Oryzias latipes: one gene and its partner. The protein of the gene in region 2 purifies or fractionates together with the protein of the main gene of each other region. This does not show direct contact. Links are inferred from orthologs where the notes say so. Each region holds a gene or a part of one and is shown on either strand. Other genes may lie near its edges.

The links.
Region 1: the proteins of phf12 (region 2) and gatad1 purify together in Homo sapiens (affinity purification with mass spectrometry; 7 studies listed by BioGRID and IntAct, with this or other methods). This does not show direct contact. The link is inferred for Oryzias latipes from reciprocal best matches to the Homo sapiens genes PHF12 and GATAD1.

What each region holds. Positions count from the first base shown.
Region 1 is NC_019869.2:23,121,350-23,125,484, forward strand, and holds gatad1 (GATA zinc finger domain-containing protein 1), read right to left. Parts: upstream 2,948-4,135; 5' UTR 2,851-2,947; coding exon 2,770-2,850; exon of another isoform or gene 2,677-2,769; coding exon of another isoform or gene 2,611-2,676; coding exon 2,497-2,610; intron 2,418-2,496; coding exon 2,295-2,417; intron 2,221-2,294; coding exon 2,161-2,220; intron 1,313-2,160; coding exon 1,129-1,312; intron 1,052-1,128; coding exon 861-1,051; 3' UTR 777-860; downstream 1-776. UniProt on the Homo sapiens protein: Component of some chromatin complex recruited to chromatin sites methylated 'Lys-4' of histone H3 (H3K4me), with a preference for trimethylated form (H3K4me3).
Region 2 is NC_019871.2:27,105,918-27,109,739, forward strand, and holds part of phf12 (PHD finger protein 12), read right to left. Parts: coding exon 3,706-3,822; intron 3,599-3,705; coding exon 2,902-3,598; intron 1-2,901.

The DNA of each region.
Region 1 (4,135 bases), on a different chromosome or scaffold from region 2:
AGGGGAGAGGGATCTTGTGAGAGCTAACTGGGTTAAGGTTATTAATAGGAGCAGCTGTCTTATGTCCTTCGTCAGTTTATGTTTGCAGCGCCTGCCGAAGAGATGTGTAGGAGCGTTTGAACACCACCAGGAAGCTTGACAGTTTACAAATCAACTTTGTAAAGCATTTATACTCAAATATTCCATACATTATGCTAGCTTTAAATGGAAATTCTACTTGTATTCAGTATCATCCCCCTATACTTTAAAATTTACATAAAAGATGACTGAATTTGACAGAACTTATTTTTTTGCAAATTCCGTATGTGGAAACCTCACTAACTGAAAATGTCAGCTAATAAAAAAAAAAAATTCTAAATAATTTAGCTTTAGTCTTCTTTACAGCTATTTCACACCGATAGGGCAACATTTTGTTTTACTGTGCAGATTTTATTGTTTATAAGTTAACATTTTTTATTAAAAGATATGCAACAATGTTGGCATCTTAAAGCTCAGAAGTAGCTCAGGAGCCGTGGCTCATGACCTTAGTGTTATCAGAACTATGAAAAAATATTAGACATGTTTCCTAAAAGGCTCAGAAATTTTATAAAAAGGTTTTTTTTGAGTGAAAATAAAAGCTAGAAACCATAAAAGCCCAAAAGTGCTGATAAAGTCAAAAACCTCCCTGTGAGGGGGAGGGTCTACTTTCCTCCTGCAACTTAGAAAATCAAGAAATTTCAAATAGTCTTTTTGTTATTTTGTTATGTTTTTAAAGAATTAAAGTCGTGAGATGAGAAATGAAAAACAAAAGTTGGTTTTATTTACAAATACAAACATGTACATACTCTGCATAATTACAATTATTTTACCAATACTGTTTGTTAACTGGTGGTGCTGATAGACTCTTTGACAGTGAATGCTGGTGAAGGTCCTATATGGGTCCAAATGTAGCCTTTTTCAGGACATATGGGGATAGTGGGAAACGGGGAGCTCTGGGACTTGAAATACTCAGAGGGTGCATGGCACACAAACTCAAGGTACTCCATCTTTCTGGGCAGATCTTCCTCTGGACCTGGAAAACAACACATGATGCTTAACCCAAGACCAGAAAATCACTTAAGAAATATGTTATTCTGTAGGAGTTCTCACCGACAATGTAAGTCCCAGGATCAAACCTGTCCTTTGGGCTGGCCTGGGTGGGAATGAGCCACGTTAGTGCTGCACTTTTTTCGCAGTACTGGTCCTGCACAAATCCTCGAATCTGAGCATAGTAGGGCTTCCCGTCATCCTCATCTATCACCTTGATCACATCACCTGTCTGGTAGTAAACCCCCTGTATTTGTGAAGAGATGTTAAAAGAAACAAAAACATAGACAGTAGTCGGCATGCAACCTTCAACGCTAAAAGTGCCATTTGGGTCGATTTCTCACTGAACCCAACAGAATCCACAAAATCTCACTTCACCCTTAAAAATATTTATTGATGTCATTATTATTATTATGATAAATATAAATGAACTGTTGCTTTTTTGGGCAGAAATCAAACAAACAAAGATAAAATAGCCTTTTTAAAACAAATGAAACAGTTTAAACTTTTGACAGAAGTTCACATGAATTCCTTTCAAAATAAAAGACAGCCGGTGTCATATAGAATCATCTCAATGCAATAAGGGTATTGGCGTATTGTTAGCAGTGATAAAAAACAAAACAAAAACAACACATTATTTTATCGCTTGTGGTGAATCTCAGCCATAAATGTGTAAATCCTAACCAACCATAATTAAATCAGAGCTAATTAAGTGAACCTTACCATATTTTTCAAACGTAAACAAATTTAAAATCATTCAATTTGTTCAAAAATCCTCCCTAATTGTGCTTACTGACCTCCAATTGATTTTCTGCAGTACACTGCGCTAAAAAAAACTGTCAAAAATGTTTTTGATATGTACTGTCCTTCAACTGTTTGTGGATGAGTTGAATAAAGTTTGTGTAAGTTTACTTTCCTACTTATTTATAATTATTTTTTACATTACAGTTATATTTTAAAATCACAACGTTATTTTTCTTTAATCAGAGAGCCACAGTGGAGGGGTAAAAGAGCAACCTGTGGCCCCGGAGCCACAGGTTGCAGACCAACAGTATAACACGGACAAACAAATGATTGGAATAATAATCACAATACCTTATAAAATACAGATTCTGAAGTGACGATCGTTGCTACAGATTCAGGAGCTTTGATTGGCTGTGGGGAAGAGTTTACAGGTTAAAATAAAAGATGACAGGAAGAATGATTTTTGGTTATTTTTTTTAACTGACATTTTTTAGTTTGAAAATATGTCTCCTTCCTTTTCCTTTTGTTGACACTTTCTTCTCAGAAGCAGGAGCTTTGTATTTGGTACTTCTCAGCCGCGCAGACCTCCGGTGTATCTCCTGCTTGGACTACAAAGAAACAGACGTGGTTTGATGCTGAGCAAAGGAGAAGTTGCTGGGAGTTTGAGTCCTCCTTTGACTGACTGACCTGCTTCCCTCCGCCATTACTGGGCTGAGCGCTGAATGACATGGAAGGTCCTGCCGCCGTGGCGCTGCTGCTCTTCCCCGTGCAGTTATTGCACAGGATCTCCCCTTGGCTTCCCTTTTTCCACATGGAGGAAGAGTTCGTCTTACACGCAGCACAACACGGTTTCAAACCAAGCGGCATTTTTTTTTTTTTCAGGAAAACGACGCCGACGTAGTACGAAGGAAACTAGAGGAAGATGCTCGATTCACCCTAAAAATGCTAACAACTACTCACTAATCTTTGTTCAGCAGATGTCACAAAATGTCTGGTCTTCCGAGAGATCAATTGCAAACATTTGTCCAAAATAACTGCCATCCATTGTAGCAATTAAACGTAGTCGCTCAACTATTGTTTTTACCGGATATTAGCTTCGCTCTTTGTCTGCAATTTAGGTTCGGTCGGTTAACCGTCTAATTTTTGCGCTACCGCCACCTAGTGGACACGTGTGAAGCACAGTCCGATTTGTCTAACTTTTTAGTTATAGTGCTTGTGAAACTGAATAAAAACTGCATTTTAAAAACTATTTTTCGTCCAAAATAAAAATTTACAAGTAGATTTAATTTATGCTGCAAACATTTTACAGAGCTTTGATTAACTTAAATCCAGTTTTTCCACAATTTGCTGTCTAGTAGGGGTGTAACGATTTACTTTTACAAAAATGTAATTCATGACATTTTTAGTTGCTGCAGTGATCCGATTCACTGACCTAAAATGGATCCAGGAAAGCTAAAACTTGTACCAGTGTCACTCAGAGAGAAATACCTGGGTACCGGACAGTGCAAATGAAGTTTTCCAGGTTCCTTGAATTTCTTGCAAGCTAATAGAGTGTAAATAAATTTGTGTGCAAACAAACAAGTAAACAAGAATTTATGAAAAATCCATTCACATTTTAGTTTTCTAAAGTTTAGCCCACTTTTGTTTTTTCCAAATTAAAATAATACAAAGGGACTATTATTATAACATTCTACCATACTGTATGGTCACATGTCTTTGCTAAATTTATAAGTGTTTCCATACAATAGACTGGAATGACTGACTGATCAGTTTTTGCTGACATCATATCTAGCTTTTACTAGATAGATAGATAGATAGATAGATAGATAGATAGATAGATAGATAGATAGATAGATAGATAGATAGATAGATAGATAGATAGATAGATAGATAGATAGATAGATAGATAGATAGATAGATAGATAGATAGATAGATAGATAGATAGATAGATAGATAACTTTATTAATCCAACAATGGGGAAATTTCATTTATCTGTGGCAGCAAAAACGACATTCAGAAATAATCTATATAATATAACATCAAAAAAGGACATCACAAATGACATTCATATTAAATAGTTAAAATTATTATTACAATTATTAGGAAAATTATTATCAAAAATGAGATTCTTATTAAATAAATAAATATTAAATAAATACAGCTGCAAAAGTGTATAAAACATGTGGTCTGCAAAACATGTAATCAACTGTAAAAAACATGTAAAAACTTTTTTTTTTTTTTTTTCAAAATACAGAAATAAGTAATGAAGTTCACACCAAAAACAAAGAACTGTTCAGGAACAAAAACAATTGAAAATTGAAAAAC
Region 2 (3,822 bases):
GACGCTCATGGATATGTTTGTTAGTGGATGATCAGAAAGGGGCGGAGCTTGTGGCCTGCCGACTAATCACAAGCTTTTTCAAAACAGCATTTTTTTCACTCTGCTCCTGCCTCACCACAGTTTGAACAAAGAAATACTGAAAACTGCAGTTTTAATCTTAATTTTTTTCATGCATGGTGAGAAAAACAGAAAAAATGTCCTCGTTGGGGTGGGTCTTTTTTTTTTACTTTTAATGGTAAACTTTGATGATATAACGATGTTTTGGGCTGTTTTTACAAGTCAAAATAAGCATGCTGCTACTTCTATTGTTAAATATTTACTTTATGAAACCGATGAAATAACTGTTCCGTCTTTAGAGGCCTGCTCCTCTCTGTTTAATGTAATAGTCAGAAGAATACTTTAAAAATAAATAGTCACTTGGGTTTAAGATGTGTTGGTAAGTTTTAAGACAGCTTGGAAGAAAACCTTGTTCCATGTGAAAGTAGGAGAGGCGGGTGTGGAAGACGTATACGGACCCTTTCCACAACCATTTGAGTGTCATGGAAAAGTGGATCCATTTCCATAATTCCATTCAAAACATTGTACTTTCATGGAATACAGATTCAGGGCCCGCTTTTTAATTGATTTCAAGTATTTGCTTATTTGAAATAAATTGGCGTTCCAGCTCAAGAAGCCTATGACAACAAGATTTCCTAAAATTAGAATGCCGTGGAGAAATCGGCCCAAATTCTGCAGGCCGTGAATGTTTGAAACGGAGTGTCACCAACTAATCATCTACGGCAGGGGTCGGGAACCTTTTTGGCCAAGAGAGCCATAAATGCCACATATTTTGAAATGTAATTTCGAAAGAGCCATACAATAATGTAGTGTCCCTTCCCCACACTGAGGCACGGAGACTTAACCTCTTTTAAAGTTCTTTATTCTGGTTACTGCAGACCGCAACAAACGCCGTTCAATTCATTCAGCAACTCCTGAATCTCTCCCGCCGACACGAGAGCGCTTCTCCCAACTATATATTCCCCTGCTCCCGCTGCAGCCCTCCCATTTCCCTTATTCGGCCCATAGCTGAACACCATTGGTCCAAACTACCTAACAACAGGCTGAGCGACAGAACTGAGGGCCAATCAGATCTCTGCTTGACGCGTTCAATGAACTCCAGAACTTTTAACGCGGCCCAACAGCCATCCAACTCAGTCCGCGACAATTTGTTTAAAACTAAATATATAAATGAATGTGTGCATTTGATTTAATTTCAACATTTTTAAAGTACAATAAGTCTGTGGATTCTTTTTAATAACATTGTTATTCTGTTGGTAATAAATGATGAGTATTTCTCGTGGTAGTTCTGCTGGTGGTCTAGTCTGGTTGATACGTGGTGAGTTTCTGCTTCGTTCAGGCGTTGAGACTTTAAACGTGATCTTAGGTCTGAATGTTCTGTAGATGTGAGACAGACTGATCACATGCAGACGGGGAGCCAAACACACACTCACACGCTGCAGTGAGTGACGGGCAGCAGGTTTTACGTTATTACAATCCCTGCGCGATTCACCTGCTGCCTGTCCCCACAACACCTCACCCCCACCCTCTGCTTTCTTCCTCACACATCCCGTCCCCGCAACTGCGCGCTCTTTCTCGGAGACGGGAGCGTGCAGTTTTAGGGACGTCAATTCACAGGTTTACGGTTGGTACAAACTCTGTGAAATAGTAGATAATAGTAAACTGATAATGCTGGCGCAGATTTTTCTCTCCAAGCACCACGCCTCTGGCATCGCATCGCGCCCGAGAAGGACTGGTCTAATAAAAAATAAAAAAGTATAATTAAAGATTTGTCTGTGAGCCACAAGTGACCATCAAAAGAGCCATATATGGCTCGCGAGCCATAGGTTCCCGACCCCTGATCTACTGCATAAAGTAACTGCACAGGTTCCCCAGACGTTGGTTCAGTTTGGTTAAATATAAGGAAGACTTCAGGCTTTCCAACTTCCCAAAAGACCATCGTTGACCTCTGGGTGAGCCACCAAAGTTCAAAAGTAGCTCAGGAGGCTGTCTGTTCACAGAGCGCTGTGTCCAAGCAGATCAATGGAAAGTCTATAGGAAGGTCAAAATGTATCAGGAGAAGAAGCAGCAGCAAAAGAGACGACTGTGGGCTTCAGCGGATCATCAAAAGGACAAGATCCAAAAAGCTGCAGACCTCCAGAAAGAGTGGAATGAGGTGGAGGAACAGCTTCCAAAACCACCACATTCAGGCCCATTCTGGAGACGGGCTACAACTGTCGGGTTCTTCGGGTCAAGACACGTCTGAGCCTGGACCAACGGGGGAAACGGAGAAGAAGAACTGGACTGTGGGCCAGTGGTCCAGGGTCCTGTTTTCTGGTGAAAGGAAAGTGGGCTGAAACAGCTGCAGTGGGCCCAGACAAACATAAAGAATCCACCGGGCTTCCGCTGATCGGAGTAAGCTCAGCCCGCCCATCGATCTCAAACGCAGATATGAAAACAGCTGGAAGCAAAGAGGGACTTCTTCTACGAGGCTGACGAAGAAACTGTAGAATTTGGAATGAAACTTCAGTAAATATGATCTATTAATGCAGCAAAGTCAACAAATGACCATTTTTAGTTCTTCAGAATCTATGAAATGTTCTGTTTACTAATGTGGAACAGTAAACTTTCAAGGCTTTTATTTATGAATAAAATATGCGTCTTTAGTAGGTTTGTTTAATAAAATGACATCAAAATGGTTAGTGACTAGACAAATCCTGCCGACTTTCATTTGCATCGAGTATTGAGAAAAATCATTCAAAAAAACAGCATTTGCAGAATAATTTGGAACGCTGTACATAGAAGCTGCTAATTAAAATGTATTGAATGTGTTTATCTGTGCTGGTTCATGAGTGCTGCTTTTACCCATTGGTGGTGGGAACAGCTTGGGTTCTCCCGTGCCTTGCTTCTGCTCGTCTTTTGATGCATGGGAGAGCGAGCTGCTTGTGATGGAACAGTGACGCGGTTCCTCCTCCTGAAGCTTGCCGTGGCTCTTGTTGTTCAGCCCGCCACTGTTGGGCCGAGTCGTGAGAGCGGTGGGGCAGTTTTTCAGAGCACAGGTCTCTGTGGCGCCCTCCTGCTCCTTTTTGAAAGCTTCCGTTTGGACATGGTTCCCTAGTCCTGCAACAGGCTCCGATTCGGAGCCGGCTTTCAACCTGTGTTGCAGCTCAGCGTGCCTGGAGGAGGCCAACGTGCTCTTACAGTCTAGATCCGTGCAAGGGCTGGGAGGCTGAAGCTTTGCCACAGATCCATTGGCTTTATGGCAGCTCTGGCATGACGTGGTGTCACACTGACAGAGAGCAAGCTTTGCCGGACAATCCTTGGAAAACGAGGCCTCTAGAGAGCTTTTGGATAAACTACCTGTAGAGGCTTTAGGACAGGGTAAAGGTGAAGGAGTCCTTCCAAAAGAAGCTGGAGTCTTCTTTTCTTCCGATAAGATGCAGGATTTTATGCAGCTCTTCTGCTCAGAATCAAACTCTGCAGCTGATGTGGATCCAGGCGTTTGTTTTATTGAAAGATGCCGCATGATGCTGCATTGGAGAGCGATGACATCCTGGAGCCACTGCTCACAAGAAATAAAGATCAAAAAACAATTATTTGAAACATCCTATTATGATGCTTATAAAGAAACAAAGCAGGACCAATGACAGGCCCAGTGGTGAGGCGTACCTCTTGCTGCTCAGCTTCTGTTGCTAGCTGATCTGAAGATGCGTGATCAGAAATGCTGCTGCAAACCAGTTCCAACTGTCGCATCCCTGCAGGGAGCAGCATGGGAGGAGGATTCTG